2 linked regions of the Bombyx mori genome follow. The protein of the gene in region 1 interacts with the protein of each later gene in a biochemical or structural test. Links are inferred from orthologs where the notes say so. Each region holds a gene or a part of one and is shown on either strand. Other genes may lie near its edges. The genes, in order: cell division cycle protein 27 homolog and anaphase-promoting complex subunit 4.

Region 1 (17,264 bases):
TGTTTCCTATGTGATCCCGATTAAATTTTGCCAAGATAAATGTTTTTGAGTTATCTTAAATGCATACTTAATTGATTTCGTCTGTATTTGATGATGTCTCACTTTATTTTAGTCGGGTTTTATTTTTGTTCAAATATTGTATTATCTAAATTCTATTCAAATCATGTTTCTAAACAATTTCTTTTCTACCTAAGCATTTTTCTACGCTTAGTTATACAATTCCATCACGTTGAACTAGACCATCTAAAATTGTATACTATACACGTTTTGTTCATTTTGTGACAAGACAGCTTGTCAAACTTTTAATAATTTAATACTTTGGGACGAAAATAGCATGTTTTGTTCAATTATTATCGTACTACTAGTTTTACGCGTGACTTCACTCCGATAAGTGTACAAAAAAAAAACTTAAATACTACTACTTTTTTTCGGGGTGCAAATTTCTTCATGTCCTCTTCTACACCCGAGACGCCGTGCATGTAAAATATCATGATGAAAGGTTGAGTAGATAAGGCGTGAAAGTGTAACAAAAAAAAACTCACTTTCACATTTATAATATTAATAGGGATGTAAACTGTAGAGATTATTTACCGTATTAAAAAATACTATGTTTTCATCATCATGTCATCGAAATACCTTTTTGTGAACGAACATAAAACAAAACATGTTATCATGGCGAAAATAAATTTTCAATTGTGTGGTGTTGAAATAATTCAATTGAATCGAAGGCTATATTTTTACGTCTCACCTGTCTTAAGATATTTATAAAAACATAAATTTTAATACATATAGGTAATGCGTGCAGCACACAATTCCTGTCTCAATTAATGATTTTGGATCGTGAAGCACCACAGTTTAACACCATCATCTAGACTAAATATATCGCTGAGTAATAGTGATTTCTTATCTATATGGTGAAATAATCGATGCCAAAGCAACAGAGACTTGATTTTCGAAGTATCGGCATTAACATCATATGTATCGTGAATTCGTTTTGCCGTCTACGCTAATAAAAGGAAACAAGTGAAATTACGGATTAGTAATTTAAAATTCCTAGCTATGAACCGTCATGTGTGTCTACTCTTTCATTGTTTATAAAACGTCTATATGTAAAAAAAAAGATACGGCAACTATCTGTAAAACAAACATACATATACAATGACACATACTTAGAGTTATAATACAATATATTCTGTTATCAACACACCTGTTGGCAAGTAATGAATAGAGCCGTGAACACGAATATTCCCGCGATGACCTGCGCGCTGCGGGTCTGCAGGAATATGGGCTCTTGCAGCGGCTTCAGCACGTCGTGAACAATTTCAGAAATCCGCTGAGCGGTTATATTCACCGTATCTGTGGTACTCATTCTGAAACAATAAATATTTTTAGCTTTACAGAGGTTTCGATACAAAATTTTGTCATTGAACAACGTATTGCATAAGAATCGTGTTGTCGAAAAGTAAATATTTAGAGCTCATGGTTTAAACGTTTGCAAATATTGCGCTTTATCTTTCTCCTACATCGATGCGATGAACCGCTTCATCCAGTGAAATGCAGCGCTATTGAATGTCCTTCCCCAAAAGCGGCACTGCTGATGCGCATGAACATAGTGGAATAGTAAAAAAAAGGCGTAGTCCCAATGTCTAAAATGGAAAGTCCAATTATTTCAGCGATAAAATATATATATTGACTAATTCTTCGCGTTTCTTTGACTCATCCAAGGAAATCTAATCGAAGATTAATCAATTTTTATATCAATATGTATATGTATTGGATACAATAGGATCTAATTAGAGGGTTCAGATCTTGCCATTGCCATAACTACGGAACCCTAAAAAGCAGAAAAGAAAGCTTGGGATTTTTTTTAGTGAATTTGGAAATAAATTGATGCTAGCATATTGCGTGTTTTTTTTTTTTTGTAAGCACCATTGCTGAGTCATTACGTTTTTGTTCTACTTTGTTTTAAGTATAACAATAACAATGTTCTAAAACCATTCAATAACTTTTAATTGATGTAGTCACTTTAATAGAAACAATAACATGTGCAATTGAAATTGATTATTATGACTGAATGTATGATTCTTGGACGACACAAAAGATCGCAGTTTTAATATGTCGGATAGCTGTTTGTTTGTGCTCCCTTCTAATAGGCTACGATGACACTGACATTGGAGAAAATTAATGAGACCTTTTTTTCGGTCCTGGAACCGAAACTCTTACGAGTTTAGGGGTTGCGCGGGATATGTGAGATTCGGTGGCCGAATTGGTAAAGGCCCAACCATTAAACAAGTCCCGTGCACTCCCCCTCGACGCCCGAGACAGAACCCAGGCAAGGTAGGGGGGATTTTGCGATCAACACTACAATGACACGAGTAGTTCTCCACCAGGAATCCAGGCCGACGGAGTCATCCAGGTGATACCTGACGACTCTAGGTCGGTCAGGTCGCCCCATATCCTTCACCGAGGGGGAAGTTGCACAATTTTATACCAGTTTTTAGAGTCGTATCATTAGACTTATTCAATTTAGACTTCGGCATTAAAACAGTCTTATAGAGAGATTAGTTAAAATTTCAGCGAAATTGGGTCGCGTCGAACCCGTCGCTTGCGACGAAGGGCTCCGCGAGTAAATTAACCCACAGACAAAGCCCACTGAGTTTCTCGACGGATCTTCTCGGTGGGTCGCGTTTCCGATTCGGTGGTAGAAGCACGACTCTTCGACTCTGCGCAACTCTGGCTAGGGTTCATGTTAGCAACAACGTCAGGTTTGAGCCCCGTGAGCTCACCTACTAGCCCGGTGACGCTGATATGGTTTCTCTAGACCATCAGCTTAGGTCGAAAAAAAAGCTAAATTGATCTGGTGGACCAAGTATATGATGACCATACGCACATTGACTTTTATATTTAAATAGCAGATTATATTGGTTGAACTGTCTTAAAAAGAGTGAAAGTATAGGCAGCATCTATCTGCATTTTTTCTGCAGTTAATATTTGCGTAATTGAAAAAACTCAGACGCATTAAATGACCATTTGAAGTAAATTTTATTACATTGAGTTTGAGAACATACATATTACATTTAGATGTTCTTTTGAAGTCTTATCATTTTTAATGATATATATACTTATGTATTTATTGTTTACTTTATTAAACAAAAAACATTACCAAAAATTGATATATGCAATAACATGCCTTTCATGAGTATTCTTTAAATAAGCCATTACTAGAAAAAGATTGGAAGTATCAACATAAAATATGATTTAAACAATAGCTGAATACACATAATAAGTATTATAGAACCAATGAAACCCAGGTTTAAGAAATATACAAGATATCTGCTGGAGTATCTGATATTACAATATTCATTTTATTCATCATAATCATCTTGGCATGAGTAAGTTTAGCACAAGACAGATGTTGACTTTTTTTTCCTTGCCTATTTTAGTAACCTCAAGGGGTTCTTCTAGATTCACCGGGCCAGTAGGTGAGCTCACGGAGCTCAACCGGGAGTGTGGCTAACAATGGCCCTAGTAAGAGCAGTGTTTTACAGAATCTACCACCGGACTTGGTCTACTATTTAGTGATTCAATGTTCATAGTCTGCCTAAACTTGTCCTTATGTATGTTTTTAGTGTTCATTTAACAGGATTTTCCTAGTGCAGAACCCATTAGTGTAGATATTAAAAAAAAAAAATTACATTAAATAATACTATTTTTACAGTTTAGTTACACTTTCATTATTTTCACTTTGTTATGTTTCAGATACTTTTAGTGGCGAAGGATGATGACAACTTATAGTTTTGTAGCACAAGAACGGCAAAAACACTATTATTTATCTCTACAACTAACAAATACTTTGAAAATAGTATTTTATTGATTTATTTCCCTTCTCTATACTAAGAGAATACTAACATCAATTCAGTTCAGGACAATACATTCATTATTGAAAATGCTAAATAAGTTGTGTAAAAGAAAAAAATCTGATGCAAAAACACAAAAAAAATCTATCTTCAACTATTTCACTTATGGAGTTAATACAAAGTTCTTGCTTTAGCTGGTTTAAATTTCTACTAGTAGAAACAATTGGCTCAGCTTTCAATCAATTTACAGTCAGTACATATGAATAATGAATTCTAGCTTCAGAAATATGAAAATATTAATGAACAATGTAATCCCAATAAAAATGATTTTAATGATATCTACAGCTCATAAAATCCAAAGAAAATATTATCATTATTACTCCATCCATTTCATTTTTTGTATGTTTATCGTCTGTGTAAACATTTATGTAAGTTAAAATTTCAATAAGAACCTATTATAAATGTATTGCCAATAACAAAAAAATAACATTCTAGTTTATATCACTTAAATAAAACATTTATAATAAGTATGAAGTTTCGTGGGGAAATAGTAGTCAGTATTAAAACTATGAAAACCCTTTTTCCTGTTTAATAATAAAAATCTTCACAAACTGTGTATAACATATACACTTGAGTTATTCTAATAGAATTTGGATAAATCAGCCAAAATATCTTTTTTTTAACAAAGAGCTTCTACAAACTGGTGTCTAGGTCATTTTCACTCAGGGTTATCTTACTACTTTAATTATTTTTATAAAATAATGTATAAATTATTTATAGGTATGTTGTCATAAAAAAACTAGAAACTAACTTATTGAAATATTGAATTTTTTTCGTAGTTCATTGCGTCACTTATTGATTTCCAGTGAAAATAGGACTTTAGAAAAATTTATATTTATGTTGTTAATTAACCATATCATTCAACCTACATGTTTATTGGAACATAATTTCTTAAGCGTGTTACGAACGAATTAACCGAATACCAAGCACAAAAGTCGAAATAGGAACTCGGTAAATTGGAGGTCACACGTCTTGACATTTTCTTGTTCGGTAGACGAATCTAGTGAAGGGCTGCTTTAATGACGTATCATGTTTATTTGCCTTAGACATACAACATAGGATACACAATGTATTGATAAACAGCAGTTTATTTACCTGAGAATTTGATTATAAATTGTTATCACACTGTTTTCCTTTTGTTATTAAATGTCACAGGTAATAAACACTGCACACATATTGCACACAAATTCCGTCGATTTTCTACACATCAACGTCGTACACTATTCGTTTTGATAAGACTATGGTCGAATGACAATTAAAACACAAATTATAATTTCAATTGAATGACTTTCCCATCGCGTTTACAAATTAATGTACCTATTTATTTTACTCTATGAAATAAGCGAATTATTTTTGATTTTAATAAAATCCACTAATCCACTTCCACAGAAACATTGACGTTCAGCACAGAGAGATTATTTTACTTTTTTTTAGGGGATTTTATGTCCTGGTAACTAAGACCTTTAGGTCAAGTCTTATTTTAATTTTTATGAAAAATGATAATATAGATATATATATAATATAGATATATCACTCTATATTATCATTTTTATATTTCTAAGATGAAATGATATAGGTTTAAATATATAATCTGGTGGTTATTTACTGAGACTTTTTAGTGGGTTTTTTGGAGGATCCCGAGCAGCTACCTCAAGCGGCCTTGTTTCATTTTCCCACATTTCACAGATATTAAACAGTTAATAAGCCACCGTTATTACACATTTAAGTCTGAAGAAACACTAAATAGACAAAATAAAACAAATTACACAATTTCACTCGGACGCTTTGCTACCACAGTTTAAATCCTTGAAGCAAGCTACTTCTGGAAATGATTGAAATTTCGTTCCAACTGCGATTGTGTATACTGGCATATTGCTACAAATTTTTTTGTGCATTTAGAATCATAGCTAAATAACAACTGGCCAAACTTAAATAAAATGAATTCCTACTCCAGTTAAATAGCGGGAGGCATGTCTGTCCAGAGTTGTCAACTATAGAGTACGTAAACAGGACATTTTTAATTTATAACTGCACTAACTGAACTTGCAGTAACTGAATGGGCTTAACCAAAAAACAACTAATTTTGATGAATAATGAACTTTAATAACTTCTTTTTTCGCTTCATCCTTATTATTTTTTAACAAAAATATAAATACAGGCATTTTCCTTTAATAAGTTACGACTCGTCCATTAATAGAACCACGTTTAAGATTTTGTAAAAACGGTTTTTTAAAATAATTTGGGAAATATTAAGATTGAGGCTGGCCACAGGATCATATGAGATGCTTAGGGCTGGCAGCTTTATCAATATCATAGACAATCAACAAACTAAAAATGTCCGTCGAAATAGATTTCCAATATATTTTGTGATTTGAATTTGTGGCTTGCAATGTAATTAATAGAAATAAAAACAATCTGGAAAGTATTTATTTACAGTAAAAAGATGATTGTGCAAGAACCTATCCAGGTATGGTGAAAACCAGTAAATTGAAGTTTCATATCTCCCAGTGGGACGTTATAAATTATTTGTTTTCTCGCAGGTTATCGTTTGGGATTGCCTCAACAATTATGAATTCGAAAACGCTATATTTTTGGCAGAAAGATTGTATGCGGAAGGTATATAAATTGTATTAAATATAATGTACCATTGCAAAATATTGATTTTTATTCTGGGTGTGCTTTTTGTTTTCGCTGCTTATTTAATAATTTGATGATTATTTGCAGTTGGCTCAGAAGAAGCTGCGTTTTTGTTGGGAACATGTTATTATAGGTCAGGGCGAATTAATGAAGCACATCATTTACTTCAAAATAAAACCCTTGCATTACCACAAGCAAGGTTTTTATTAGCCAAATGTTCAGCTGACTTGAAATCGTAAGTACTTTTCATTTAAAAAAAATAAATGTTAAAAATTCCCTGTGAAGCTTCTCTTCAAACAATTTAAATTCTATTAAACATATGGGTGAACTTATGATGGCATTTTGATAGTTCATGTACTTTTTGTTTATAAATGATTAATATGCAGATTGTAATGAGACCACCCAAGGCTATAACAGGTAAAATTGGGAACAAAAAGAAAACTAATTTCCTAAAGCATTTACAAATTAGTAATGATAATTTAAAATTTTTAGAACGAAATATGTAAGCTGGTGGCAGATGCTCCATGTGTTACTTTCTGTAGTGTCCACCATTTGTAGACACAGTTAAAACAATTATTAAATTTAATAAAAGACACGAGCTTGACTTGTAGAAGAAGTTTTAGGCACACAAACTTTTTTTTTTTATTTCTGTAATTGAAATAAAAAATGTACTTGGATCAGATACACATGTTTAATTTTTATCAATCAAGATCTGCAGATGCCAATATTAATTAGCTATGAAAATCAATAGAAAACAAAATATGAGTACCTGCATTCTATAGTTGAAATCTCAATCGCTTATTGCTATAGTTGTTATTTATAGAAAAGTTAACTGCTTAGCAGCAAAAATAGGTAGGATGGTAGCACACCTGTGAGGGCCTGCAACATGTATTAAATATTTGAATACAGTGAAAGCTCCTTATTCAATTCAAACTGACATTTAGCTCTTGGATCATAAATATGTCTCTTCAAAATAAGACTGATCTCAATAGGTGGGTCAATTTTCATAAAAAAATAACAAAGTCCATTTGCAATACCTAAAATTTGCTTCTGGTTTTATATGTTTTGGACAAATTTTTCTTTTACTGAACGCGAAGAGATGTCTTATATGATTAAAATATTTAAATAGGACACCAGCCCCTACAAAGGCATCTTTTGTCATGGCAGTTTAGTCATAGTTGCATTACATATGTTTTACTTTTATGTTAATGTATGTAAACCCATACAAATATACAGTTATTTATCATTACAGCTACAAAGATGCAGAAATTGCACTGGGCTCCAACCTTGATATAATAGCTTCTGAATTTGGAGAGCAGGCGCCATACGCTTTACAGCTTCTTGCCAAAGTATACATCAGCACAGGAAGAAGGAATGAAGCCGCTGAAGCCCATCGGAAAGCACTATCTCTTAACCCATTTATGTGGAAATCATTTGCACAGCTCTGTAATATGGGTGAGAAAGTTGACCCCCAACAAGTTTTCCAAATAAACAACTCTGAGTTCACATTTGGTGTTACAACATTAGTCAATCTAGTCAGCAATTCAGAAAATATATCATTTGTTAACTGTAATATTCATAATAACAGCAGCATGAATACAAATGTAACACCTAATAATGTTGCCACACGTACACCCATGGCTATGTCGACAAGTATAACTCCTGAGACACAAGCCCCAATGAAGCGAATGCATAGTGTTTTTAGTGGTATGGCACCTATTCCATTTTCACCATCATTTGGAATGCTTACAATGGAAGAATCTCCTGTATTATATACTCCAACATTGACAGATTCAAATGAACAGAAAGCAATTCCTAAAATAGTTAATTCTCTACGTGCACAAATGGGACAACTTAAGGATGCAGTATTTAGCCCAGCTCCAAGATGTACACTTGGCCCTGCCCCACGTAGATCATCAAGACTATTCAGTAATAATAATAGTAGTTATTCAGTAAAGGAAAATAATAAATCACCTAGTAGGAAATTTGCAGCACCAAAGAGTCCCTCAAGAAAAAATAAACAGAGAACTGCTAAAAATATTAAATCTAATACAATAGATTCAAATAAAAGTATAGAAACTGTCACTCCAACCATACCTCCAAAGAATTCAAATGGAGTAGCATTGTTGAGTCTTATGAAAGAAATAGGAGAAGCTTATAAATATCTTGCATTTTTAGACTGTAAAAATGCAATAAAATCCTTTCAAGAGTTACCTCCAAAACAATTGGCTTCACCTTGGGTACAAACCATGATCGCACGTAGCCATTATGAATTGGCTCAATATGAGGCAGCTGCTAAAATATTTTCAGAAATAAGAAAACAGTATCCAAGTCGTACTGAAGGGATGGAAATTTACAGTACCTGTCTATGGCATCTTCAGCGTGAAGCACAGTTATCAGCCTTAGCACAAGAATTAGTAGAATTAAACAGAACTAATCCAATTGCTTGGTTAGTTGCAGGAAACTGTTTTTCTCTTCATAAGGAACGTGAAACTGCATTAAAGTTCTTCAGACGTGCAGTTCAGCTAAATCCAGATGCTGCTTATGCACATGCATTATTAGGGCACGAATACGCCGTAGCAGAAGAAACTGATAAAGCTCTTGCTAGCTTCAGGTTAGCTGTTAGTATTGATCCACGAAATTACGTTGCATGGTTTGGTATAGCTACAGTTTACGCACGACAAGAACGTTGGAAAGCATCAGAAGTTCACATACGCCGTGCTCTCAGTATACATCCACTTTCAGGAGTGTTGAGATGTCAGTTAGGTCTGGCACAGTCTGCTCTCGGAAAAATGGAAAGAGCTTTATCCACATTAGAAAAAGCTGTAGCATTAGATACAGAGAATCCCTTATGTCGTTTCCATAGAGCTTCTGTATTGTTAAGAGCAGGAAGACCGCAAGATGCATTAGCAGATCTACATCACTTAAAGGACATAGCCCCTAGAGAGTCATTAGTTTATTATTTACTGGGAAAAGTTCACAATAAATTAGGTAATGCTCATTTGGCATTAATGCACTTTAGTTGGGCTACAGATTTAGATCCTAAAGGAACTGGAGGTCACATAAAAGAAGGATTCGATCCATCAAAACAGGAAGATCCACCTGAGAGATCAACCTAAAAAAGTATGACGAATGTAAAGGATACTATTCCAGATATGTTGGTAGAATGCCAGCATGAGATCACTGACTGATCCATTGTAAATATTGCTCTCACCCATCGGACTTAACTGACACCAAAATAATTCTTCCAAATATAAAATGTAGCTTTACAATGTTCAATGGGTGCGGTGGCATTAGACGCTGTAGTAATAAGAGCGTACATGTGGATATGTTTATATAGATTAAGATGTGGATATTCTTAATATTGAGCTAGTTTATAAACTTCTAGCCAAGTAATTTAACTTTAGAGAGGGTATGAAGTAACTATGGTTTTGTAAGATGTTTGTGAGGCCTTGATCTCATTTGAATGATTTGATAAAAAGAAATAATTTATGTACCTAATTATAATGACACAAAAATGGCAAGTAATAAAGATTCTGATGATAAGCTTTTTAAAGTATCAACAATATAATTATGTTCCAACAACTAAAGCAACTAGTGATCTATTTTAAACAGCTGTTTAGTGTTTCAGTTTGCCTGGCTGGATCCACTGGCAGTATTTAAATATCAATAAATCATGTAGTGTCTAGAAAAGTATTACGTTCATGCAAATTATGAACCATGCATGTTTTTTTAACTTTCGAGACATTTCTCCGCTTTGGATGTTAGTTATAACTATTTCCTGAAAATTATGATCAACAAAATGGATGTATGTACCTGTTCACTATGAGACAGATTAGTTCGTATAATAAAATAAATATCAAATGAAAGTTTTATGTGTATGTATATAAAGAATAAATTGACTAAAATAATAGCACTGTTTGTCGTTTCAAATCACTAATGAACTGCTCTGGAAAAGAGACAATCTCATATGTATGAAGTTTAAATAAAACTGATTATAATAATTATTGTAGAATGTTTTTATTTCGGAACACGACTTATTCAGCCTTAATTTAATATCCTGTAAAATAAAAAAAGTACATATAGATTTTTAAGTGATTTTTTGTAATATAGAATCCAGTGCTTTCCTCAATGAAGGGTCGTTAAGTAATTTGTTCTGTGCAGTGGTCGTCGCGGTGGTAGTGTTTACAGGAGCCGGAGCGACAACGGGTGCCGGAGGCGGTGTCTGTACGTTCTTGTCATTGAGAATATTCATAATTCTCTGCTGTAGTTCAACTTGTGTTTTGTTTGTTGTAGCAGTCACAGGAGCTGTCGAAGTTTCTCCCAATTCTAGTTTTACTTGATGGTCACGACGTTCCTAAAATGTTTACGATTAATATTAATGTGTTTAGATTTTTCTATATCTACTTAAAAATGAGAAATAATATTTCCCTGATCAAATTCTATTCATTGATATTGAATATAGAGAAAAGGGCCCAAATTTTTAGATACTATCATAAACTATTCATAAAAATGATCTTCTACCTGTAAATACTCGATAACTTTGTTGTATTGTAATACGGTAAGTGAACGGCCGTCAGCAAGTTGTCCGAGCAGAGCATATACTGCTTCACGACCGGAAGGACCACCGCGCTGGACCTCTTGGAAATTGCGCGATAACAGCTGCAATGCGTCTTCTATTGGCATATTTCTATGTTCTGTAATATAAATAATAATTTGTCTCTTCTATTTTAAATTACATCAGCGGACCTGATATTTGTACTCTTTTAGATACGATACTTGCAATGAGACCAGTTGGCGACATTAAAATAAATATGTATGTTCTTTTTTTAGATGGCTGGACGAGCTCACAGTCCACCTGATGTTAAGTGATTATTGGAGCCGATATACATCTACAACGTAAATGCGCCAACCACCTTGAGATATAAGTTCTAAGGTCTCAGTATAGTTACAATGGCTGCCCCACTCATCAAACCGAAACGCATTACTGCTTCACGGCAGAAATAGCCAGGGTGGTGGTACCTACCCGTGCGGACTCACAAGATGTCCTACCAGCAGTAATAAAATTCTGTAAGAACGACATTATTTTACCTTGAGGTAGTCCGTGTAATATTGTTAAGGTCAAAGATCTGTGTTCCAAATTCATCGGCATAACCAATATAGCGTAGAGACATCCTCTCGAAGCTATGTTACCGAGAACTTTGCCGATCGGCACGTCTTCCATTGGAAACAGCAAATCGACGACTATACCCAATCTTTTGAGTCTATTTTCAATATATTCCGCATATTCTCTGAAGAAAAAAAAAATTGTAAATTTTTTACCAAACCTATTAAAAAAATAATAGTTTAAAAAAAATAGAAAATACGTTTTAATAAATGTAAATTGAAAATAGTGAAAAATATATTTTATTGTAAAAAAAGCGTGGGGTGCATATTATTAGTTATATTTTTCTGACAGATATGAGTAGAAGAATTATTATTTCAATAATATCTTAAAAAGCACCCCGCGCTTTTTTATAATACATTATACAATACACTAAGTATTGTTATCGGTCCTCGATAAATCTACAAAGTTTGAATGAAATTTGGCCGTTTAAAGTGGGTCAAAATCGCGTCTAAAGGAGTCAGTTACAAACATACATACAAGTGAAGCTAATATAAAGCGTGTAAAAAGAGGGTATAAAATTAGAAATTGAAGCAGGCTTATTCCTATAGTGCTCTTTCCATGAAAAATCACTTACACATAAGTTCGTGATTTGCATGAATACATTTAGAAATATCTACTATATTATATGTGAAGTGCCTTACACACAATCATTATGCCAAATAAACTACAGATCGGGAGTTTCCATTACGTATCTTAGAAGATATTCATAAATACGAAACCTTAGCACGTTTGAGACAAGCGTTTGACAATAAGGTTTAATTAATAGAAGCATACTTTTAGGAATTCATGTGGATCAAATTTTTAATGTGCTGTAGAAAAATATTTCTTCAACTCAACTATACTTTTGCGGAATTAGCATCAAATAGATCAGAATCTATTATTATCATATGAAACAAGTAATAGGTACTTTGTTAGTCTGGCATTCCACTATGTCGCAAATTTGGCAATCGTGACTTCTAATACTGCGCGTTACTTATTCAATTTCAAGTTAGCACCAACGCGGCAGTCTTCGCTGCTGATAATCTTGATATTGAGTTTTTTTTCTTATTTTTAAGCGGGCAATATTTCAAAAGTATTTTAATACTTATTTTGGAGAAACGTGACATTATGTAAGTACTGTTTGTGCTTAGTATTCATGTACAATTAAATTAATTTAAAAATATAATATAAATTATTACATTACCTAAAAATGACTAAAAATAAATTATATTGTCATTGTCTATGAAATATATTTTTTGTAAGTGCTAGTTTAGACATTCAAATCAGGTTACAAGGCATCTCAGGTCATTAATGGTCTAGATTATATTGTCAAATGAGCTACGGCTGCAGGCCATATACATCAAAAGATGTATATGGACCCCCCAATTATGTACCTTGAGATCTGAGATCGAAGTCTAGACTACATTATAAAATGGTTGTTCCACGAATCAAACCCAAATACATGACTGTTAGCATGCAGAAATTGACAATAGAATAGACAATGGAAAATTCCAAATACCTTTTCTCATTTAAAATACACTTTACATTTGTAAAAAGTACGTTAATATAAATTTTATCTAGTTTCGTTCTATAGCTGAATGTTTAGGTATTATGACGCTTTACGTATTATGAAGCTTAAGTAATTTAATAAATGTACACTGTATCAAAATCTGTTGTGTTTTATAAGTACTAAGGGCAGACAAAGACAAGACAAAAATAGGCTTTATTTCGACGGGTAAAAACCCATTTGGTTTAAGCAACACTTTAGCAACTTACAGGCAGGGACGTCTTAAACTAGGATGGGGCCCTTGGGCACACAAGAATTTGAGACCCTTTTGGAAAGTAAAAAACCCGAATTATAATAACGTTTTTTTACTGAGTATGACCATTTATTATAGGTAATCAAATGCAGTATGATATAATATGTCATTAATGATATTAGAATGCTGCTGGTTTTTTGGTTACGATTTCGATAACGGTTTCTTTCGGGATTTCTGTTGAGCAAAACCTTCTATTATAGGCATAGTATATGCCTTGTAAATACCTTCTGATTACTGATTTGTGAAAAAAGTGTAATGTGCCCGACAAAAATGTTTTGAGAATAAACGTGTGAGAATGGGGGCCCTGGGCACGGGCCCCGTGTGCCCTTATGGTAAAGACGGTATTGCTTACAGGAGCAATTTGAGGTTTAAAATTTGGAAAATATGCCATGAAAAAAAACTTCTTCCTCTTCAGCTATTTGAATGTGGTAAACATAATTGAAGTTGAATTAAAAACATCGACTTGTATATAGTTACTAATACCGTATAAAACGACCTTTAATTGCAAAGATAAATGTCGCATAAACTAAATAGCCTCTCACCTCTCGATTTGATACTGATTATTGATAATGATATAGACTTAAATTCTACTATAGAACCATTCAATATTATTTGTTTTTTTACAATAGCTAACACTTACGTGAGACTCTTCGCAACAACAATGATTTCACAATCATTCCTTTCTGGTACCGGCAGAGTTCGTGGATACTCAGGGGGCTTTGGAAATCGGTTATAACCACTCCGATCAACCCATTCACCTATGGATAAACAAAAATAATGAAATAAATTGTTGTTAGTCTGATCCATCCTAAGCTATCTTTCACAAATTGAGTCGTCGTAGCCTAAAGGATAAGACGTCCGGTGTATTCGTGTTGAGCGATGCAACGGTGTTCGAATCCCAGACGGGTACCAATTTTTCTAATGAAATACGTATTCAACAAATGTTCACGATTGACTTCCGCGGTGAAGGAATAACATCGTGTAATAAAAATCAAACCTGCAAAATTATAATTTGCGTAATTACCGGTGGTAGGACTTCCTGTGAGTCCGGGCGGTTGATTTATATTGAGCTAATATTGAAATTATGCACAATAAATGATTTAAAAAAAACAGGAAATTAATATGGTAATGTCAAATGACAATAGCATGATATTAAATATAAGAAGCAAGGTGGTTGGACTAGCTCACAGCCCTGGTGTTAAGTGGTTACTGGAGCCCATAGACATCTACAACGTAAATACGCCACCCACCTTGAGATATAAGTTCTAAGGTCTCAGTATAGTTACAACGGCTGCCCCACCCTTCAAACCGAAAGGCATTACTGCTTCACGGCAGAAATAGGCAGGATGGTGGTACCCACCCGCGCGAGCTCACAAAAGGTCCTACCACCAGTAATTACGCAAATTATAATTTTGCGGGTTTGATTTTTATTCCACGATGTTATTCCTTCACCGTGGAAGTCAATCGTGAACATTTGTTGAGTACGTATTTCATTAGAAAAATTGGTACCCGCCTGAGATTCGAACACCGGTGCATCGCTCAACACGAATGCACCGGACGTCTTATCCTTTAGGCCACGACGACTTCAAAATAAGCATATTTACAAAATAAGAATTTTGTTTCATTTTATTTTGATACTGGTAAAATGTTTAGATCAAAGAATCATATTGACAACTCATTGCATGCATATTTGTAAAATAAATAAATGATGAATAAATATCAAATTCTGCTTAAAGCGACATTACTTTCTTGACTTTTTACAATAATACAAAATGGAAGTTCCTAACCTGATGGATTGATGGGTGGTCTATCACAGAAACTTGGACCTCTTGATCGTGCCCCACGGACTCCTTTACCTCGTGGCCCTAAGCCACGGCCACGGCCTCTACCTCTCTCATCATGAATTTCGGGCCTGTTGTTGCCCTCTTCAAATTCCTCTTGAAAACCTAAATTTTTTATTTTTTTATTTATGTTTATGAATATTATATATATATTATATTACATTTGATAATATTTTACGAAGAATTATGTTTTTAAGTTACATATCGACGCTTGAAAGGCAAACGTGACTAAGCGACAATAACTGTTTTGTACTTAAATGATAGGCAATAACCATATTCGATACGCAAAAATTCTAGGTCTATTAAAATCATTTCAATCCTACAGCTAGATTCGTTCAAATATAATTTTTTCAGGTATTTCAACATTAAATTAGTCTACTGCAAAGTTCACGCATTGTCGCTTAGTCGCGTTTGCCTTTCAAGTGTCGATATGAAATATGAAGATTAGAAACATACAAACTATAAAAAACAATTTGGAAATTAAATTATTTTTTTCTACCTAAGCTTATAGCCTTGAGAGGCTATATCAGCGTAACCTTAACTAGTAGGTGAGCTCACGGGGCTCAAATCTGACGACGTTGCTAACACGAACCCTAGCAAGAGCCGTGCTTCGCAGAATCTACCACCGGATCGGAAATGCACCCACTGAGAAGATCCAGCGAGAAACTCAGTGGGCTGTGTCTGAGGGTGACTGGAAATTTCAAATGACCTTGTCAATGAATAAAACTATCTTATTATTCTCACCATGATCATTATTATTTCCATAGTTGTCATAAGCTTCCTCACTTTCATCTTCCATTTGAGTGTCTTTTAGTGCAACAGCAGGTGGCACTTCTGGATATATCGTTACGGTTTCAACATCTCGTCTATATAGTAAATGTAAAGATTTTAAATATTTTGGAGCAATAAAGATTTTCAATTCATAGTTTCTAATTATATGTTATTAGAATAGTAAAATTTTATTAGCCTATGATTAACATAATAATTTGTGCACAAAGTGACTGCCTAGTCTAGCCCTGCTTGTATTAGCTCTCTTATTTCATTAACTCTATCATATCATGTTGTAGTGACCCTTTGCAACTTTACTAAAGATCTTTTTCTACTTCAGTAAAAGTAAAATTGAATGGTATAAAAGGAGAGGTATATCACAAAAATATAGATAATGGTGAACTATAGCTACGCCTACATCTCACATGTATATCAAAGAAATTTTCAAGATATTTTGCCTGCTGGGTGGTGCCATCCCATTATGGATAGAAAAGATTAATGTGATGAATTTTTTTCATGCTGAGTTATTACTTGGCTTTCAATATTAAAATATAAGAATAGGAACCTAAACTGCATATTGGCTGTAGATTGAATTTACAGAAAATTAGTTAAACCTTTTATCAGTTGCGGCTCTGACAGGGATATTTTTTCCTTTGAATACGCTACCATTAGCTTTTTTTATTGCTTCCTGTGCACTTGATTCTTCGGCGAATTGCACAAATCCAAAATTTCTATTAACTATAATCCCATCTATTTTCCCGTATTGTATGAAGTAATCATAGAGTTCTTCAACAGTGGTATTATCACTTAAGGCTCCGACGTAAATTCGAAGATGAGCCGTTGATTTCTGTTTCATATCAATCCTATCCAACGTAAGGTTGTCTGAAAATATTTGGCACGAAAATAATAAAAAAAAAAAACATTTAATTTAACAAAACATTGAATTAACTTTTACCAGCCATTGTTATTTATTTATTACAACTGTATTTTTGTGAATTTGTAAGCAAATTCTGACTTCTTTGCAGTTACAAAAATATTATTTAACGTAAATATAAAATGTACATATGTACATGTATGTTTGTATCTAGCAGTGTGACGTGTGACCAGATTTCATTTGACGAATCTACTGTTTGTG
Region 2 (17,269 bases), on another chromosome or scaffold:
TTATCAACTTTCTAAGCAAAGTTTTAAAGTTGTTAATTGAATGTGATACGAATATAGCACGAGAAGTATGGGGAAATCCCCTACATGCTCAAGAAGCAGGATCTTCAGGGTTGTCATTTTTTACATTTTATTTTATTTTCTTTATCCAAATTCCCAATACGACCAAAAAGTGCCAGAAGCTAAAATAAGAGTATGTGGCGTTTAAGAACGCACCTTTTTATGATGCGTAAGCCGGAACGCACGAGAGGTGGGAAAAAGAATATAGTCTGTGCCACGGGACCTTTTTACCGCCAAATATTTAAAACGTAAAAATAATTTATAATGTGTTAAATAACTAATATAATATAATTACTTAGAATTGTTTATGCCGCTACAACAATAAAATTTAAACATTTATTTAAATTTAACATTTACGCAAAATGCGTGTTTGGTGCTCCTGAGGTTACTTTTCTCGGAAACAGAATATCCGCCGACGGAACACAACCACCATCAGAGCGCATTCAAGCTCTAAAAGATTTTCTTCTACCACAGACCGTACAAGGACTCCGTCGTTTCATTGGGATGGTTAATTATTATCGCCGATTTCTGCGCAATGCGGCGAAGTTACAAGCACCGCTAGTCAACGCGATCGTGGCCGCTGGAGGTAAAGGTCTCACACCGATCATTTGGACACCTGAGCTCGAGGAATGCTTTAATGCCTGTAAAGATAATAATAATAATAATAACTCTTTATTTATATAACACCTTAATATGTACACAGTAAAGTAATAAAACAAAAGTCGGTATATAAATCGGCGGCCTTATCGCTGAAAGCGATCTCTTCCAGGCAACCTTGCAGGGAGAGGAATAAGTTAACTGGACGGTGCTATATCTTAATAAACTTACATAAAAATATATACTTAAATACACATGTGAAAAATAAATACCATATAAGATACACAAATCTAGCAGGTTATCCATCACCGATATATGTTCACATATGTATTTTTGAGCATATTCATAATTTTTAGTTACATTGTCCAAATCAGTTTTCAACGAATTTATTTGTGAAGTTAACTTTTCTATTTCTAACTCATGATTGTGATGAACATGTTGTAATTCTTCAAGTGAAGTATCTAGTTTTGTACGCAGTGCATTTCGGTCTTTGCATATAGTTTTTATATAATTAATAGATTTTCTAGTTTTTAAAAGTTGCTCCGTTTTATTTATAAACTTATTTAACTTAGAATATCTCTTATACTTTTTCTTACTAAGAACTAATCGAGAGGAATGTGTGTTAAGATTTTATGTGGAAGAATAAGCAGACTCTTTTTAATATCACAAATTATATTTTATTCACACGACACAATCTTATTAAGTAGAGAATGTATCCATGGTAACGAGTCAACATGACTAGTGCGGCGATACGCAGCTAGTGCTATATCTCAACACTCCTCCTAAATGATAACATGGCTTACAGTTATTATTTAATACACAACTATATCTAACTTAACTAAACAAACAGTAAACTAACTAATTAAGAATTAGCACAAAAACTTCTTAATGCATTTATAAAACTTGTCTGTGCTCAAACTTTTAGTCATAACATCCGCTAAATTTTCATTGGTACAAATATGTTCAATGCTGATCACCTTATTGACAACCAAGTCTTTTATATAATGAAACCGTATGTCAATGTGTTTTGTACGCTTAGAGTTCTCGTAATTCTTGGCCATTGATATCGCACTTTTGTTGTCAACAAATAGCACGGCATTTACATCACAACCTAGGTGCTTACATATGCCTTTTAAATTAACAAATTCCTGTGCTAATGATGCGGCGGCTACATACTCGCTTTCAGCAGACGATAAAGTTACGCATTGTTGCTTCTTTGAAAACCAAGCAATGGGGTTTTGCCCTTGTAGGATAATACCACCGCTAACACTTTTTCTGTCGCTTCTATCTCCAGCCCAATCGGCATCAGAAAATCCGTATAAATTATTGTCATTTGTCTTTTTAAATAATAATCCTTTTTCTTTTGTTTCTTTCAAATAACGTACTACTCTTTTTCCAGCTTTCCATAATTCTTCGTTCGGTTTATCTAAAAATCTGCTCAGATATGACACTGCAAATGTTAAATCCGGTCTTGTTGTTACAGTAAGATAAATTAGACTTCCTATTAGTTCTCGATACGGTACGTCCAAAACTTCTGTATTGTCATTTATTTCTATATTGTAATTTCTTTCCATGGGAGTTTTAATTCCGTTACATTCATCCATTTTGAATTTAGTCAATATCTTTTCAATCATTTTAGTTTGTTTCAGTTCTAATGTATCTTTATTTCTTTTAACTTCCATTCCGAGAAAGTTTTTTCATTTCGCCCATATATTTTGCGTTAAACTCCTCCTTAAGTGCTTTAATAATATCTTCCCCGTTTCCAATGATTAGGATATCGTCCACGTAAATGAGCATCCAGCAATCTTCTTTGTAATACAAACAGTAATCATATTCTGATCTTTGGAATCCCTTAGCTTTCGCAAATTCGTCAATTGTTTCATTCCAACATTTTGGTGATTCAATCAATCCATACAATGCTCTCTTTAGTTTTAATGCTGTATTATTATTATTTTTTATTTCTAATCCTTGGGGTATTTTGATAAATACATCAGACTTCAATTTTCCATTTAGGAATGCAGTGGGAATGTCTAGTTGAATAATCTTTAAATCATCTTGTACAGCTTTTGATAAGATCATTCTTATGGTTGAATGTCTAGCAACGGGTGCATAAACGCTGTCAAAAATATCTTTTTTCTTTTGTTGGAAGCCTCTAGCTACCAGTCTTGCCTTTTTTGTTCCATCTTCTTTTTGTTTAAATATCCATTTTGTATCTATGAGCTTTCTTCCATCGGTTATTTCTTGTTCTTCCCACGTTTGTACTCTTTGGAGTGCATCTAGCTCTTTATTGATTGCGTTTTTCCATTCTGGTTCTTTTATAGCTTCTTCGAAAGTTTCTGGTGCATTTGCACTCAGACATATAACAATATTAGTTTCATTTATGTTTTCTATATTCGTCTCGTAATCTTTAAGATAAGCAGGAGGATTTATCGTTCTTTTGGGTCTGATTATTGCTTCTTCAATCTGATCAGTGTTCATTTCTGCATCTTTAAATTCATCTTCCTGTTCTACAATATCTTGATTTTCTTTATTGATTTCTTCTTCTTTGTCTTGAATATATCTAACTTGTTTCACTTCTTCGTTATTTTTGAATTTAATATCGCTTTCATCAAATCTTACATCTCTGGAAATAACTATTTTATCTTCTTCTGGATCCCATAATCTGTAACCAACAGTTCCATAACCTACCATTCTTGTTTCTTTTGCTCTCTTGGCAAACTTGTCCGGTTTGGGTACTATAGTAGCCCAAGCTTTGGAACCAAATACTCTCAATCTCGATAGGTCGTTTTTACCAAAAAATATTCCGCTGGGTGTCTTGAAGTTTATGGCCCATGATGGCGATCTGTTTAATTGGTAAACTGCACATTGTATCGCTTCGCACCACAGATGTTTTGGCAAATTGGTTTCCGCTAATAGAGTCCTCGTTTTGTCGCATAATGTGCGGTTCATCCGTTCTGATATGCCATTAAGTTGTGGCGTGTACGGTAATGTGTATTCTAAACTAATACCTCTATTTATGCAAAAAAGTTTCAAACTATTAGCAGTGTACTCTCCACCATTATCGCATCTAATTCTTTTAACTTTATTCCCCGTTTCGTTTTCAATTCTTAATACATAGTTCATCAGTCGTTCTGTTGCTTCAGATTTGCTCTTCAGGGGATACACTACGCAAAAATGAGAGAAATCGTCAATAATTGTCATAAAATATTTTTCACCATTAGGTCCTTGATGTCTGATCGGTCCTGCTATGTCTGTGTGAAGCATCTCGGCTGTCATTTTCGTTCTAGGCTTTGGGATAGACGTGAATGGGCTTCGGGTGGCTTTGCCCTCCATACAGGGACTGCAAATTCTATCAGATACAGGTAATTTTAGTATATTAAGGCTTTTCCTATTTAAATGACCTAAACGTTTGTGCCATAGATCTGCCGCATCAGTAACATTACAAACTTCGGACTTACATAATTCGGCTTGTAGCTTATACAATTTTCCTTGCACGGTGCCGCATAAAAATGTATTTTTATTAAATATTTTAACATTGTATTTATTAAAGTTTATGTTAAAACCTGCCTCGACAATCTTTTTCACTGATAACAAATTGTATGAAACATCTTTCACAATTAGAGCATCAATATTAATCGTAGTATTTTGATATTTTACTTTAAGTTTACCTCTTTTACTAGTTGTAATACATTGGCCGTTAGCTACGAATATTTTGACATGTTTATCTAAGTACGTAATATCCGTCATATAATTTTCATATTTTTCATTTATTAAATGCTCCGTACATCCTGAGTCTATAATTAGTTCTATGTTACCACATTCACCCACATTAGCAATAATATTGCTAGCAATGAAACCTATTTCTTTGTCGTCTCTGCCTGCTGCTGAAGTATGTTGATACGTTGTATGTCGTGAACTTGAATTTCCTCTAAATGAGCGTCCACGCGATCTTGGATAGCTCCATCCTCGTGTCAATGACTGTCCTCTACTCGGCCCTTGTCCTCGTCCTGATCTTCGGCATTCGAATGATTTGTGTCCACGTTTTCCGCAGGAGTGGCACGTGATGAAGGCATTATTCTCATAGCTTTCACTATTTCTGTCCATTTTTAACTTTGTCTCCATATCGAGTAGTCTTGCTTTAACAAATTCTAGGTTCAGCTGTTTCTCGGAAGCCATAGTCTCAATTGATGTAATTACTTGATCGTTTAACTTTGGTAGAGAAGACAGCAGATAGCAAATTTGGTCTTCTACATCGACGTTTACGTTGATTGCCGCTAATTCGCTAAGAATTCCTTCAAATTTTAGGAAATATTGCTGTAAGTTGCTTTCATTGTCATAGCGCATTGTTATGAGCTTGCGTTTTAAATAAAATTTGTTACAGACTGTTTTTCGTTCAAATATGGCCTCCAATGACGTTAACATTTCTTTGGTCGTATTCGCATTTTTTACGATGTTAATATATTTGTCGCTCAGACATTGTACCAAAATTGATTTTGCTCGTGAGTCATCTTTATCCGTCGGTTTCTCTTTTAAGAATACATTGCTTAATTGCTTTTCTTCCAGCAGTAATTTCAATCTAAATTTCCAATGACTAAAATTTGAATTTTCAGTCAAAATCGGCAGAAGAGACCCCGCAGTTGTCATCTTTCTTTTTTTTTTATAATTTTTGCCGATATTATTTTTCGTGGATCGCAACCCAATATATTTTTATTTACTTACTGCACGCGATCTGCTACCATGTTAAGATTTTATGTGGAAGAATAAGCAGACTCTTTTTAATATCACAAATTATATTTTATTCACACGACACAATCTTATTAAGTAGAGAATGTATCCATGGTAACGAGTCAACATGACTAGTGCGGCGATACGCAGCTAGTGCTATATCTCAACAATGTGTACTATCGGAGTCACCACCAGTCAAATCTATTGTAGGTATGTCACACTGAGAAGTGGTGATCACTGTTCCAAAAAAACAAAAAAAAAAGCCCGCTGAGTTTGTTTCGCCGGTTCTTCTCAGGACTGTGGCTTTTTTTTGGAACCGGTGGTAGAGTTAACATTGTTATTTGTATTTTGACATTCAACAAGTGTGTCATACTGACATCTAAGTTGAAATAAATGATTTTGAATTTTGAATTTGAATTTGATAAACTTACATACGATTAAATACAAATAAATACTAAAAATATACAAGATAAAATACAAAAGAAGTAGAAACTTATACAGTTATATCATAGAAGCAAAGTAGTGCGATTTCAATCTGGACTTGAAAATTTCTGAAAGATAGCTTGTCATCTGCAGCTCTGTTGGCACACCCGTTGCCTAACGCTGAACTAGGGCTTTTCACCGACACTTCCAGTTCTCACGTTGGTGCCTGCCTTCAGCAGAAAGTCGGTGATGCTTGGCAACCTCTGGGTTTCTTTAGTAAAAAGCTGAATCCCCGACAGTGCCAGTGGCCAGCATACTACCAAGAACTTCTTGCAGTATATGAAAGTGTGCAACATTATCGACACTTCCTAGCCGCACAGCACGTAACGATTTATACGGACCATAAATCATTAGATTACGCGTTCTCGCAACGTCGCGAAAGGCTTCCTCCGGTACAGTTAAATCAACTGTTTTTTATTTCGCAGTTTACCACGGATATTGTCCATATAAAAGGGGTGGACAATACGGTGGCGGACACCATGTCCCGCATCGAAGCTGTTAGTTTTGAAACTGACCATTCTGCTCTCTCCGCTTGCCAAAAACTTGACGACGAATTGAAAAAGTATCGTAACGATGCGAATTCTTCTCTAAAACTAGAGAACGTCTTAGTTCCTGGCACAAACACTGTTTTGGTCTGCGACATGTCAACAGGGCGACCACGCCCATTTGTATCGGAACCTATGCGAAAGAAGATTTTTGCTCAGCTACATAATCTTAGCCAACCTGGTACTAGATCAACCATTCGATTGATCTCAGACCGTTTCGTGTGGCCTGGCATTGCCAAAGATTGCCGTTATTGGTGACAAACCTGCGTTGCTTGCCAGCGAAGTAAGGTGACGCGGCATATAAAATCTCCACTTGGACACTTCTCCAGTCCTACGTCTCGGCTGAAGCATGTCCATATTGACATCATTGGCCCTCTTCCATCTTGTTCTGGCTTCCAATACTGCCTGACTGCTGTGGATCGCTACACTCGATGGCCCGAAGTTTGGCCTATGCACGGAATAACAGCAGAAGAAGTAGCGAGCACCTTTGTAGCCGGCTGGATTGCTCGATTCGGAGTTCCTGCTGTCATCACAACCGACCAGGGACGACAGTTCGAGTCGGACCTTTTCAGACGCCTTACTAATTTATGTGGTACTAAACGTATACGCACTACTAGTTACCACCCTTGTGCTAATGGGCTCGTGGAGCGCATGCATAGACAATTAAAGGCCTCTCTGATGTGTTATGATGATTCGTGGTTGAATGCATTACCTGTGGTCTTATTAGGAATGCGTTCTGCTTTTAAAGAAGATCTACAAGCATCAGTAGTGGAATTGCTTTACGGAGAAACGTTAACGCTTCCAGGGGAACTGTTAGTACCTCCCGGTCCCTCTGGCTTCGAGGACCCGACGGATTTTGTCGTAAAGTTAAGACAGCGTATGTCTAAATTGCGTCCCACTCCGTGTTCCTCACACACTAAACCATCACCTTTCATATTTAAAAATCTTTCCACCGCCTCTCATGTCATGCTCAGGGAGGATTCGGTTAGACGTTCAATGCAACCTTACTCTGGTCCTCATAGAGTTATATCTAGAGCCGAGGACGGAAAACGTGGTCGATTGAAGTAAAAGGGAAACAGGTGACGGTCAGTGTCGACAGAATTAAGCCAGCTTTCGTCGAACATTCTTTAGTAGATGTCGTTCCGGCACCAGCACCACGGGTTTCTGTGCTTCAACCAGCGCAACCGGATGCTACTGATGTCCCTTCATGTCCACTCGTGCCGTCGGCACCTCTAACTGCTACTCCTACGCATACACCTCAATATACCACCCGGTCGCAGAGTCCACTTCTCCAAACCTTTCGACCTCTTTAGTTACCAGGTCATAAAATCCCTTAAAAAATTGGCGGGAACGCGAGGAGTGAACTTGTGTAATTTGTTTTATTTTGTCTATTTAGTGTTTCTTCGGGTTTAAATGTGTGATAATGGTGGTTTATTAACTGTTTAATATCTGTGAAAGTGCACAAATGTGGAAAAATGAAACAAAGCCGCTGGACGTAACTTCTCGGGATCCTCCAAAAAGTCCACTGAAAAAATCTTAGTAAATGACCACCATTTTACTGAGATTATATTTCATCCCATTTCATTTCATTTAATTTCATCCCAGTTGATTAATGTCTCAAATTAGTCGTCTTCATTTCATTTCACTCCATAATATCATTTTTCATAAAAATATGAATATAAATTAAAATAAGACATGAATTAAAGGTCTCAGTTACCAGGTCATAAAATCCCTTAAAAAATATGACATACGCTAAGTCCGGCAAAAAATAATTCAAATAATGTCAACCAAATTTTCTTACACTGGAAAGTGAAAACAACCTAATGTTAACACATGTATACATAGATTATACACTTAATATATTAGAGACATGTATACAAATAATTAACATTCTCGGAATGTTCCCAAATATGTTGTATACTCAGAAATCTCTTCAAAAAATTTGCCACGACGATTACTAGTAACATCAATCAGTTAATTATGACCAGTCTTTAAACTCTAATATAACATATGATATCAATCATAATACTGCCGATGCCGAACCCTCAATTGTCAACATTGTTGCTCAGAGTAGTACATGTGATTTAACTACAAGTAAAATGCATTGTGGTATGAGGCAAGTTGGAGAGAGGCATGTGCCCTATCAAGTTGATCTTATGGTCTGGAGTAACCGTCTGGATTTGCTAGCATTAAGTAATAATAAAGGTATGACAGATCTCAATTCATCATCTAATTTTAAAAAAATATTCTTACAAAACTATGTACACATCGATTGTATGATTCAGACTGAATGCATTATATCTTCTATTTTATCGCGTTAATGTAATTTTTCTTGTACATAAAGCAAGTTTTTTAATTACTAAATCTACTTAGCCCTTGGTAGAGTCTTCAGAATACAATAAATTCAGTCCAGTCTAACAGATGTGCTTTTGTTTGCTGTTGATTCAATTTGCAGTCAGCTCTAGGGCAGGATAATGGTCTGTTCAGAGTTTACGGGACTGCCATCTTAGAAGTTTCTAGGATCTCCATCATCATTAGTTGTGTTAGTTTACGATGACAAGACTTAAACTTGAGTTTGCATTAGGGTCTGGTTTTTTTGCTGATTTAGATAGATTAAGAATGTAAGTCAAACAACTAACTGTAAACTTTCCTAAAAGACGTAAGCAGTGGTGATTAGTTAGTGTAAGACAGGCTGTAAGTTTAAGCTTTTAACTTTTATTTATTTTTATTTAAGGTGAAGTCCAAATACATAGATTGCATTGGCAAAAAGTATGGAGCTTACCACCTCCAAAAGAAAATGGCTGTGTACAAGCGATGGCTTGGAGACCTGATGGAAAGGTATTAAATAAAGCACTAAAATACCAAGTAACAGTACCTACTGAACTGTATTTAATTATAAATCTAGAATTTTGTGGTAAATGGTTTCAGGCTCTAGCTATTGGATACAATTTAGGAATTATTTATACAGTTAGTGTGGAAGACAAGGGTATAATTGATAAGTATGAATTGGAACTAGAAGTCACAGATGAACTTGATACTGCTAAGTATAGCGGCATTTCTTGTATTGTATGGGCGATACGAACTGACATCTTGCAAAGTGCCACTGAATATAATTTATATGTGAGTGATTCAAAGTTAATAATAGCTTATAAATTTAGTAGATATATGTATAAATAAGGACTAGTAATCTAAGGAACCTAAATATGTTTAACGTTTGGGGTTTCAAAGATTAGAGCAATGTCCAATTTTTTTACAGTCAGCAATATTTTGTGTTAATTCTGATCTATCAATACACCACTGATGTTCCAGGTGGCAAAATAAAGTGTATTTATTTTAGAAACCTGCATAAAATTGTGTCATCATTAGATTTATCACCACCAGCTCATTTGATCAAGTCTATACATTCTTTCAGCTCTTCTATTAGGAGTTTTTATTCATATTGCTCTAGATAAGCAGACAAACTCTCAGAGGGCCTACCTTGGGGGAAGGGGATTAGTGGGTCAGCGATTATGCAACTGAATCTTCAAGTCATGTCTCAAAGTGGGCAGTGATATTATGATATCTATGGGCTTAGGTAAATTCTAACACCCTGTCTGCCTGAATATATTTCATAAAATTGGTTTTTTTGCAATGATATATAAAAATACATAAAAATTTGCCATAGTAATTACTGCGAAACTCATAAAATGACTAGTCAATTATATTAGAAATTATAATTACAATAAAAACGTTATTAAAATTCCAAAAAAGTTTCTATCTTAAGTATCTAGCCAATAATTTTAAAGAAAATAGATATGAACTGATTTGAACCATGTACAGTATAAGTTTTGTTAGCTTCGAAAATAGATACCGTGAATATGGAATAGTAATTTACCTAACAAACGATCGCACACTGCCCCCACACAGCTGATGATTTCACACAGATGATCATTATCATTTTATTTTTATTTTTATTGCTTAGATGGGTGAACGAGCTCACAGCCCACCTGGTGTTAAGTGGTTACTGGAACCCATAGAAATCTACAACGTAAATGCGCTACCCACCTTGAGATATAAGTTCTAAGGTCAGAGTATAGTTACAACAGCTGCCCCACCCTTCAAACCGAAACGCATTACTGCTTCACTGCAGAAATAGGCGGGGTGCTGCTACCTACCCGTGCGGACTAACAAGAGGTCCTACCACCAGTAAACAGACTGTATATCCACCCTCTAGAAAGCTAATCAAGTCGTCGTGGCCTAAAGAATGTAATATTATAGGGAATATAGGGAAAACGTTCCTAGGTGACAACATAAAAGCATACTTTAGGCAAAGTTGTAATAAGGTTTATTTAACTTTTTTATAAGTCCATTTGACGACGCATTTTTAAATGAAGAAATCTTTACCCGCGAAAGTAGAAATTAGGTCTCATTTTTTAAATCCGCGAATTGCGAATTTAAGTATAGGTATAGTTAATTTTGTTGTGAACTCCCTGGGACTGTCTCTTTATTTATTTTTTTACGACTCCCTAATCAAGTAACACAAAACGTTATGAATATATTCCATTATACTGGTGGTAGGACCTCTTGTGAGTCCGCGCGGGAAGGTACCACCACCCTGCCTATTCCTGCCGTGAAGCAGTAATGCGTTTCGGTTTGAAGAGTGGGGCAGCCTTTGTAACTATACTTGAGACCTTAGAACTTGTATCTCAAGGTGGGTGGCGCATTTACGTTATAGATGTCTATGGGCTCCAGTAACCACTTATAACACCAGGTGGGCTGTGAGCTCGTCCATCTATCTAAGCAATAAAAATAAAATAAAAACTCGAAAACTATTGGATGACATTTGGAAGTTTTAAACTAACTAAAAATGGTTGGATTTAAAGTAATTATTAAAAAAAGGTTGGCATACGCCACGTAGCTTGGGGTTGAAAAGTGTGAAACAAGATTTATGGAGTTAACTTTTTATGAAAATTGTTTAATTCGTTAAAACCACAAACGTTCATCCTAACTACGGAAGTATTCTGTCGGTTGTTCGACTTACACTTATTCGAATTATTTTAGCGTTTTACAGCAATAGGTACTTTTAAGTTTCCGCGAAAGTAGGTTTTCAAGTCGTGTTTCAAATTAATTTATTTAAGTATGTCATTAATCATTATTTCAGGATGATGCCTCAATATTTTTACAAAAAGTTCCAATGTCGAGTGGATACAAAAACAGTCATGAAGACAACAAAGATTGCAAGTACATACAGAATCCCACACAACTGAACATGTTAATTGTCGGATACGGAACAGGCAACATTTACCTGAACATGTATGGCAGGTATCCGTATGGAACTATTCAACTGGCAGAAGTGGCCAAAGATGATTTTGGAGAGTACAAAGTGTTAGACGTTAATATGTCAGATGACTTCAGTGTCATGCAAGTTCTTTATGTGGATAGATTGACAAATAATGTTTTTTTGGCTATTGTTAACACTGGCGTATTATCTGCATACGCCGATGAAATAAACACGGTAGCACATAAACATGGACAAATTGTTCAGCTGATGACTCAACTTGATCAAACGATGATTTCAATTACTGAAGCATGGGAACATATATTGCTTGAAATGGATACTAAAATGGCATATTACGCTTCATCTGTGCACGAGGGAGGGGTTTCAGCTGATCTATTAGAACTACTCATGTTAGGTCTGTACTACTTCTTGCTTTTCTAAATATATTTTTTTAATAATAAATGACTAAATATTTACTAACGATCACGCCACGTTAACTGGTCCCGTGTTAAGTTCGTAAAGAGCTGGTGTTACAGGTATCAGATAACGGAAATAAATGTAAGATTTTTATTATACACATTATTATACATATTTTATTATTGGTAGGCAGCGGCTTGGCTCTGCCCCTGGCATTGCTAAAGTCCATGGGCGACGGTAACCACTCACCATCAGGTGGGCCGTATGCTCGTCTGCCTACAAGGGCAATAAAAAAAATATAATATATATTATATAATATACATCCATAACCCTAGAAAAGACATTTTATATTTATCATACAAATATTTTCCCTTGGCGGGATTCGTACCCGCGACCCCTTTGTGTAGTGACCATGTCACTTACCACTACATCAGACGGCCGTTAAATTGTGTCCATACGATATGTAGTATTCTATATTGATTATCATTGAAGACAAATGGCAGATGGTAAGAAGTTACTGTCATTCATGAACAGCAGCAATGTTAGGGCGCATTCACGCTCTGACGCTAAATACATTAAACTACGTATCGTTTTTTGTTTGTTTAACCTTTTGAGCGCGAACTGTCGATAGATTGACTCGTCATCATTCTGATGCCCTCTTCTCTGTCACCATCGGTCAGCGCAGTTTGTTTAAAGGTATTAGGTACCGATATGTACGGAAGTGTCTTAGCGCGCGCATATTTAACGTTTTCAATAAGTTAATACATTTGTAAATAATAATTTATTTTGCTGTAAATTTAGCATTGAATTTTGTATATTTTTTTAAGTAAAAGTTTTGTTGTGGCAATTTTTTTCTAAAATCTTTTACAATTTTTTGCATAATATGTGAAAATAAGCTCAGCACTCAAAGGGTTAACGTAAGCTCGCAGGCCTCTTGGTATTACTGTACATAGACTGTTGTCTGGGTCCTGAGCCCTGATCTAGACTAATAAAAAATAACCTATCACTTAATAATTGATCACACAACAGAATAGGTTACTTACTTATGTTTTAAGCATTTCAAAATAATAAAACGCGACCTTTTGTTGTGATAGGTACTCCATCAGTGGATTTACAAGTTTACCTTTTGGAAAAATTGACAACTAATGACTTGAAAAAATTTGGAAATTCTGTTGAATTAAGTTACTCGACCATACAGAAGCTGGTACTGAAACAACTCAATATTGTTGGCCAAAGTTTAGTTTATTATTTAGCCGAACTCAGAGGACTCACAAGGATAGAAGACAGATACAAGGTAATCATTAAAAAAAAAATTAAAACCAAATGATATTCTGTAAATAAATTGCTACTTATTGGTAATAAAAAAATAGACTTGGACTTCTTTACTCAATATGGGTCGCAGCGTCCACATTGGCATCTATGGCAGTAATCGATAAATACTAGGTAAGGTATCTAACCCATTTGAAATACTATATTCAATCCAAGATTTAGTATAAATACAACAACAATACTATCGCATATGTACTACACACCTGTACAGAATTCTTAGGGGTTTGATTCTTTTTTGAGTCACGAAGAAACCGCTAGACTTCCGCTTAAAATTAGAGGCCCGTGGCAGAATTAAACCGTCTAATAGCGCTCGTTGGTTGAGACACAATGGAAATATATGGAACGCTTAGGGTGCTAAAATTCGGACTTCCTTCCTATTCGAGTACCCCTGCTGGCTGAACGATGACGATTTGGTCCGCTAGCACTCATGGCGCGCTGCTTGCTTCTGTCAACACATTCGGCAATTCGGCAAAGAAGAGGACGGCTTTTTTTGTGTGGGTCATTGCGCGAATGTGTGAGTGACCTCATAGACACAGCCCACTGAGTTTCTCGCCAGATTTTCTCAGTGAGTCGCATTTCCGATCAGGTTGTTGATTCTGCGAAGCACTGCTCTTTGCTAGGGCCAGTGTTAGCATCAGTCCCGATTTGAGCCCCGTGAGCTCACCTACATGTCAAGCTGAAATAGCCTCTCAAGGCTTTCAGCATAGGTAGGAGTAAAAAAGTGAGTGTATGAAGCCGCAGTGATGGCAGTCCACCGTGGACTTAGCCACAACCCGGTGTTATTTCTGAAGCAATGACAAAGCAGGGCGCTGGTTCTAACACTTATCCGCTTTATCTATTGAATATCATATCACATTGTATAATATAATCACGATAGATTAGATGCAAATATTTTAAAATAATATAAACCATTTTGCAGATTCTAGGTTTAGAAGAAAGCAGTGTTACAGAAGCGATAAAAGCATGTTGTGCATTTTTAAACAAATGTCTGGAATTACAACAGGTTATTGATGTATCGATGCGGAACTATAAAGCTTTCTTCAGGTGGCTTTTTGTAGTAATCGTTAGACAACTGGATGAACAAACACCAAGTGAAATTGTGAAAATAAATCAACAGGAATTGAGCCACATAGCGGAGTTTCTCTACAATTTTGACAATGTAAAAGTAGACAGTTCAGACAAACCACCTGATAAATTGATCAAATTTAATTTAGAAAGATTAGGGCAATATTTGCAAAATCAAGAACTGACAATTTTGCCAGAAGATGAAGACAACACATGGCATAAATTTCTTCAAGACAATGCTTGCTTCCTTAAAGACAATGATACATTTTTCTCCATGAAAGACTTCAAAAAATATTCATTAGTTCAACAGCAAGCACATCTTATAGAGACAGTCACTAAAGTTTTTGATGTCGTTCATAAAGATACAGGAAAATATTTTTCTGTATTATGTAATATTAGATGCCACGAAGATCAACTGAATAAAAACCTGCACAATAGTTTGAGAGTTTCACAAGTCTTTGATGACACAAATAAACGATTGATGTCGGCCTTTTTGGATATATCAAATGGAAAAGAAGGAATTTATTTTTTGGCTGTCAATATAAAGGAGAGATCTTGTAATATTGCAGTTATGAAATGCTACTTTTCTTCTTATTTAGTTCAAAATGGCACTGATGATCAACAAAACGAACCTACAAATTTATTAGATTTACAATTCTATTCCCCAGAATATTTGTCAGTTATTACAACACATCCTGAAAATGAGGAAAATACAATATTTATTCAGGTACCAGTAAAACATCTCCTAGAAAATTCTACTGAACTCAATATTAACACAAAATCTTGTATTTTTACTGACAGAAGTGTAAAGAAGGATATTGCGCCTTTATTAGAACAGAATGTTTATAAAGTGCTTGAGAAAATGGACGGTTCAAGATTAGCAGTTTCTGGAGGTCGTAAAGTTGCTGTTATCCTTTCAAAAAGTTCTCGAAAAGTTAGAGTATTTGAAATGGAAGTTGATGGTGATGATGATGAAGACGATACTCTCGATACAACACCACAATCTATTGGAAAATTTCAAAACACACCTGATAAAAGTAATACTACCAATGAAGACAATATTTTTTAATATTTATTTAAGAAATTAAATATTCTACTCATCCTTATTATCTAGTATCATTTCTTTATCTACACTAGTACTTATTGAAAATTAATAATATGTAATTGGCAATAGATTATACACATTTGTTTAAAAGCATATTATTTTGGAACTATGTATTTGGAAAAATAAATTATTACAGTATTAAAATCTAAGTCTATGACACATCTTGACTTATGTACTGTTTTTAACTAAATCAAACTACGATGTGGTGATTTAATTTGAATATTTTCAAATACTGAATTGAAATCTGTATCTAATCCTTGGTTATCTATTCCATAGAGAAGTTCAGATGATTGATTTCTGCTTGGTCCCGCAACAGGTTCATGGATGCTAGTGGTAGTTTGATTATATATTTCATCACCATCTATTTCCTCATCTGGTTCATCAACTACAAACAAAATTTAAATCCATAATTTGGTCAGTCATCATACTTATGTGGTAAAATATAAAAAATGATAAGGGCTTTCCAAGTTAGTATAGTAACATTAAAAATACAGTAAAACCTCATAAAGGGAAATACAATTTTTTGCTACACTTTACATTAATACTTAATTCAGAAAAGCAAAGAATACATAATTTATTTTAAATTGATTCAATTACTTTCATAATTTTAGTGATGAATTAGTCTAGTTTTGCTTGTATATAACAAGTAGCTTTTGCCCGCAACTTCGTCCGCGTTGAATAGTTACTTTGGCAGAACGCATAATTTTACCCACCTCTTCATTTACGTAGAAAGTGAAAATGTTTTTGAATAATAAAATGTTAAGGAGCTATTTCCTTAAATAGTAATTAGGTTAAAAACCGTGATTTTGGTACCTTTACCAAAATCACGCCTTTTAGCCAACTCCAAAAGAAGAAAGTTATCAACTCGACCATAATTTTTTATCTATGTTCACCGATTTCTCAAGAATGCTAGAACCGATTTTGATAATTCTTTTTTATTTTTATCGAAAGGGTAGACTTCCCGAATGGTCCTGTTTACATCAAGATCTGATGATGGGATCTTAGAGAAATCCAGAAAAATCTATAGGTAATTGCAAAGCCTATCTTGAAGTGATTTGGGTGTTTCAATGTTGTAATGAATAACGTATACAATACGACCGATGTATCTTGGCGAGTCCGAACTTCGCGCAGAAGGCTGCGCACAAACGTTTTTAGGAACCAAATGGTGGCATGACCGACGTGCGCGGGGCGGAGGTCTAGGCTAGGATTTACTCTGTGTAAACACAATCGTCCCTTTATTCAATCAAATATCGCAATCGATTTTTATCGATTTAGAATTTATTGATATTTGTTTTTATGAGATACTGAACGAAATAGATTTACAAACTTATTGAATGTTGTCGTTAGTAGACGAGACTTCATCTTTAATAATAAAAAAAAACTAATAACACTTTATTTTCTTGGTTGAAAGACACGATTTAGTTGAATATCAGTTATTTATAAACAACTACTACAATAGGAACTGTTTGTTAATATTTTAAACCTTCTATAAAATGGAATATAAATATATTTTTTTATTTAAATTTTAATCAATTTGAAAAAAAAAATCGATTAAACAACATCCTCAAACCCGCATATTGGACATCCCTTTTCTTGACATCGTATAAATTCGGTAATGCTCGGTACGCGGTAATGTGTCTCACTCACACGCTAGTATTAGTGTCGTGTTCGTGTCGCTATCTCTGTCTT

The links.
Region 2: the proteins of cell division cycle protein 27 homolog (region 1) and anaphase-promoting complex subunit 4 form a complex in vitro, tested with the Homo sapiens proteins (2 studies listed by BioGRID). The link is inferred for Bombyx mori from reciprocal best matches to the Homo sapiens genes CDC27 and ANAPC4.

The regions. Positions count from the first base shown.
Region 1 is NC_085117.1:10,624,361-10,641,624, reverse strand, and holds cell division cycle protein 27 homolog, read left to right. Parts: upstream 1-6,168; 5' UTR 6,169-6,360; coding exon 6,361-6,384; intron 6,385-6,457; coding exon 6,458-6,533; intron 6,534-6,641; coding exon 6,642-6,789; intron 6,790-7,806; coding exon 7,807-9,673; 3' UTR 9,674-10,561; downstream 10,562-17,264. Other genes in the region: transmembrane protein 184B, read right to left, coding at 1,208-1,369; nuclear receptor coactivator 5, read right to left, coding at 10,645-10,911, 11,079-11,251, 11,646-11,845, 14,161-14,278, 15,308-15,466, 16,106-16,227, 16,744-17,011, 17,085-17,091. UniProt on the Homo sapiens protein: Component of the anaphase promoting complex/cyclosome (APC/C), a cell cycle-regulated E3 ubiquitin ligase that controls progression through mitosis and the G1 phase of the cell cycle.
Region 2 is NC_085119.1:8,384,193-8,401,461, reverse strand, and holds anaphase-promoting complex subunit 4, read left to right. Parts: upstream 1-7,732; 5' UTR 7,733-8,506; coding exon 8,507-8,612; intron 8,613-9,141; coding exon 9,142-9,245; intron 9,246-9,335; coding exon 9,336-9,527; intron 9,528-11,547; coding exon 11,548-12,079; intron 12,080-13,175; coding exon 13,176-13,375; intron 13,376-14,329; coding exon 14,330-15,544; 3' UTR 15,545-15,581; downstream 15,582-17,269. Other genes in the region: uncharacterized protein LOC119629381, read right to left, coding at 1,524-2,258; uncharacterized protein LOC101742302, read right to left, coding at 15,766-15,965. UniProt on the Homo sapiens protein: Component of the anaphase promoting complex/cyclosome (APC/C), a cell cycle-regulated E3 ubiquitin ligase that controls progression through mitosis and the G1 phase of the cell cycle.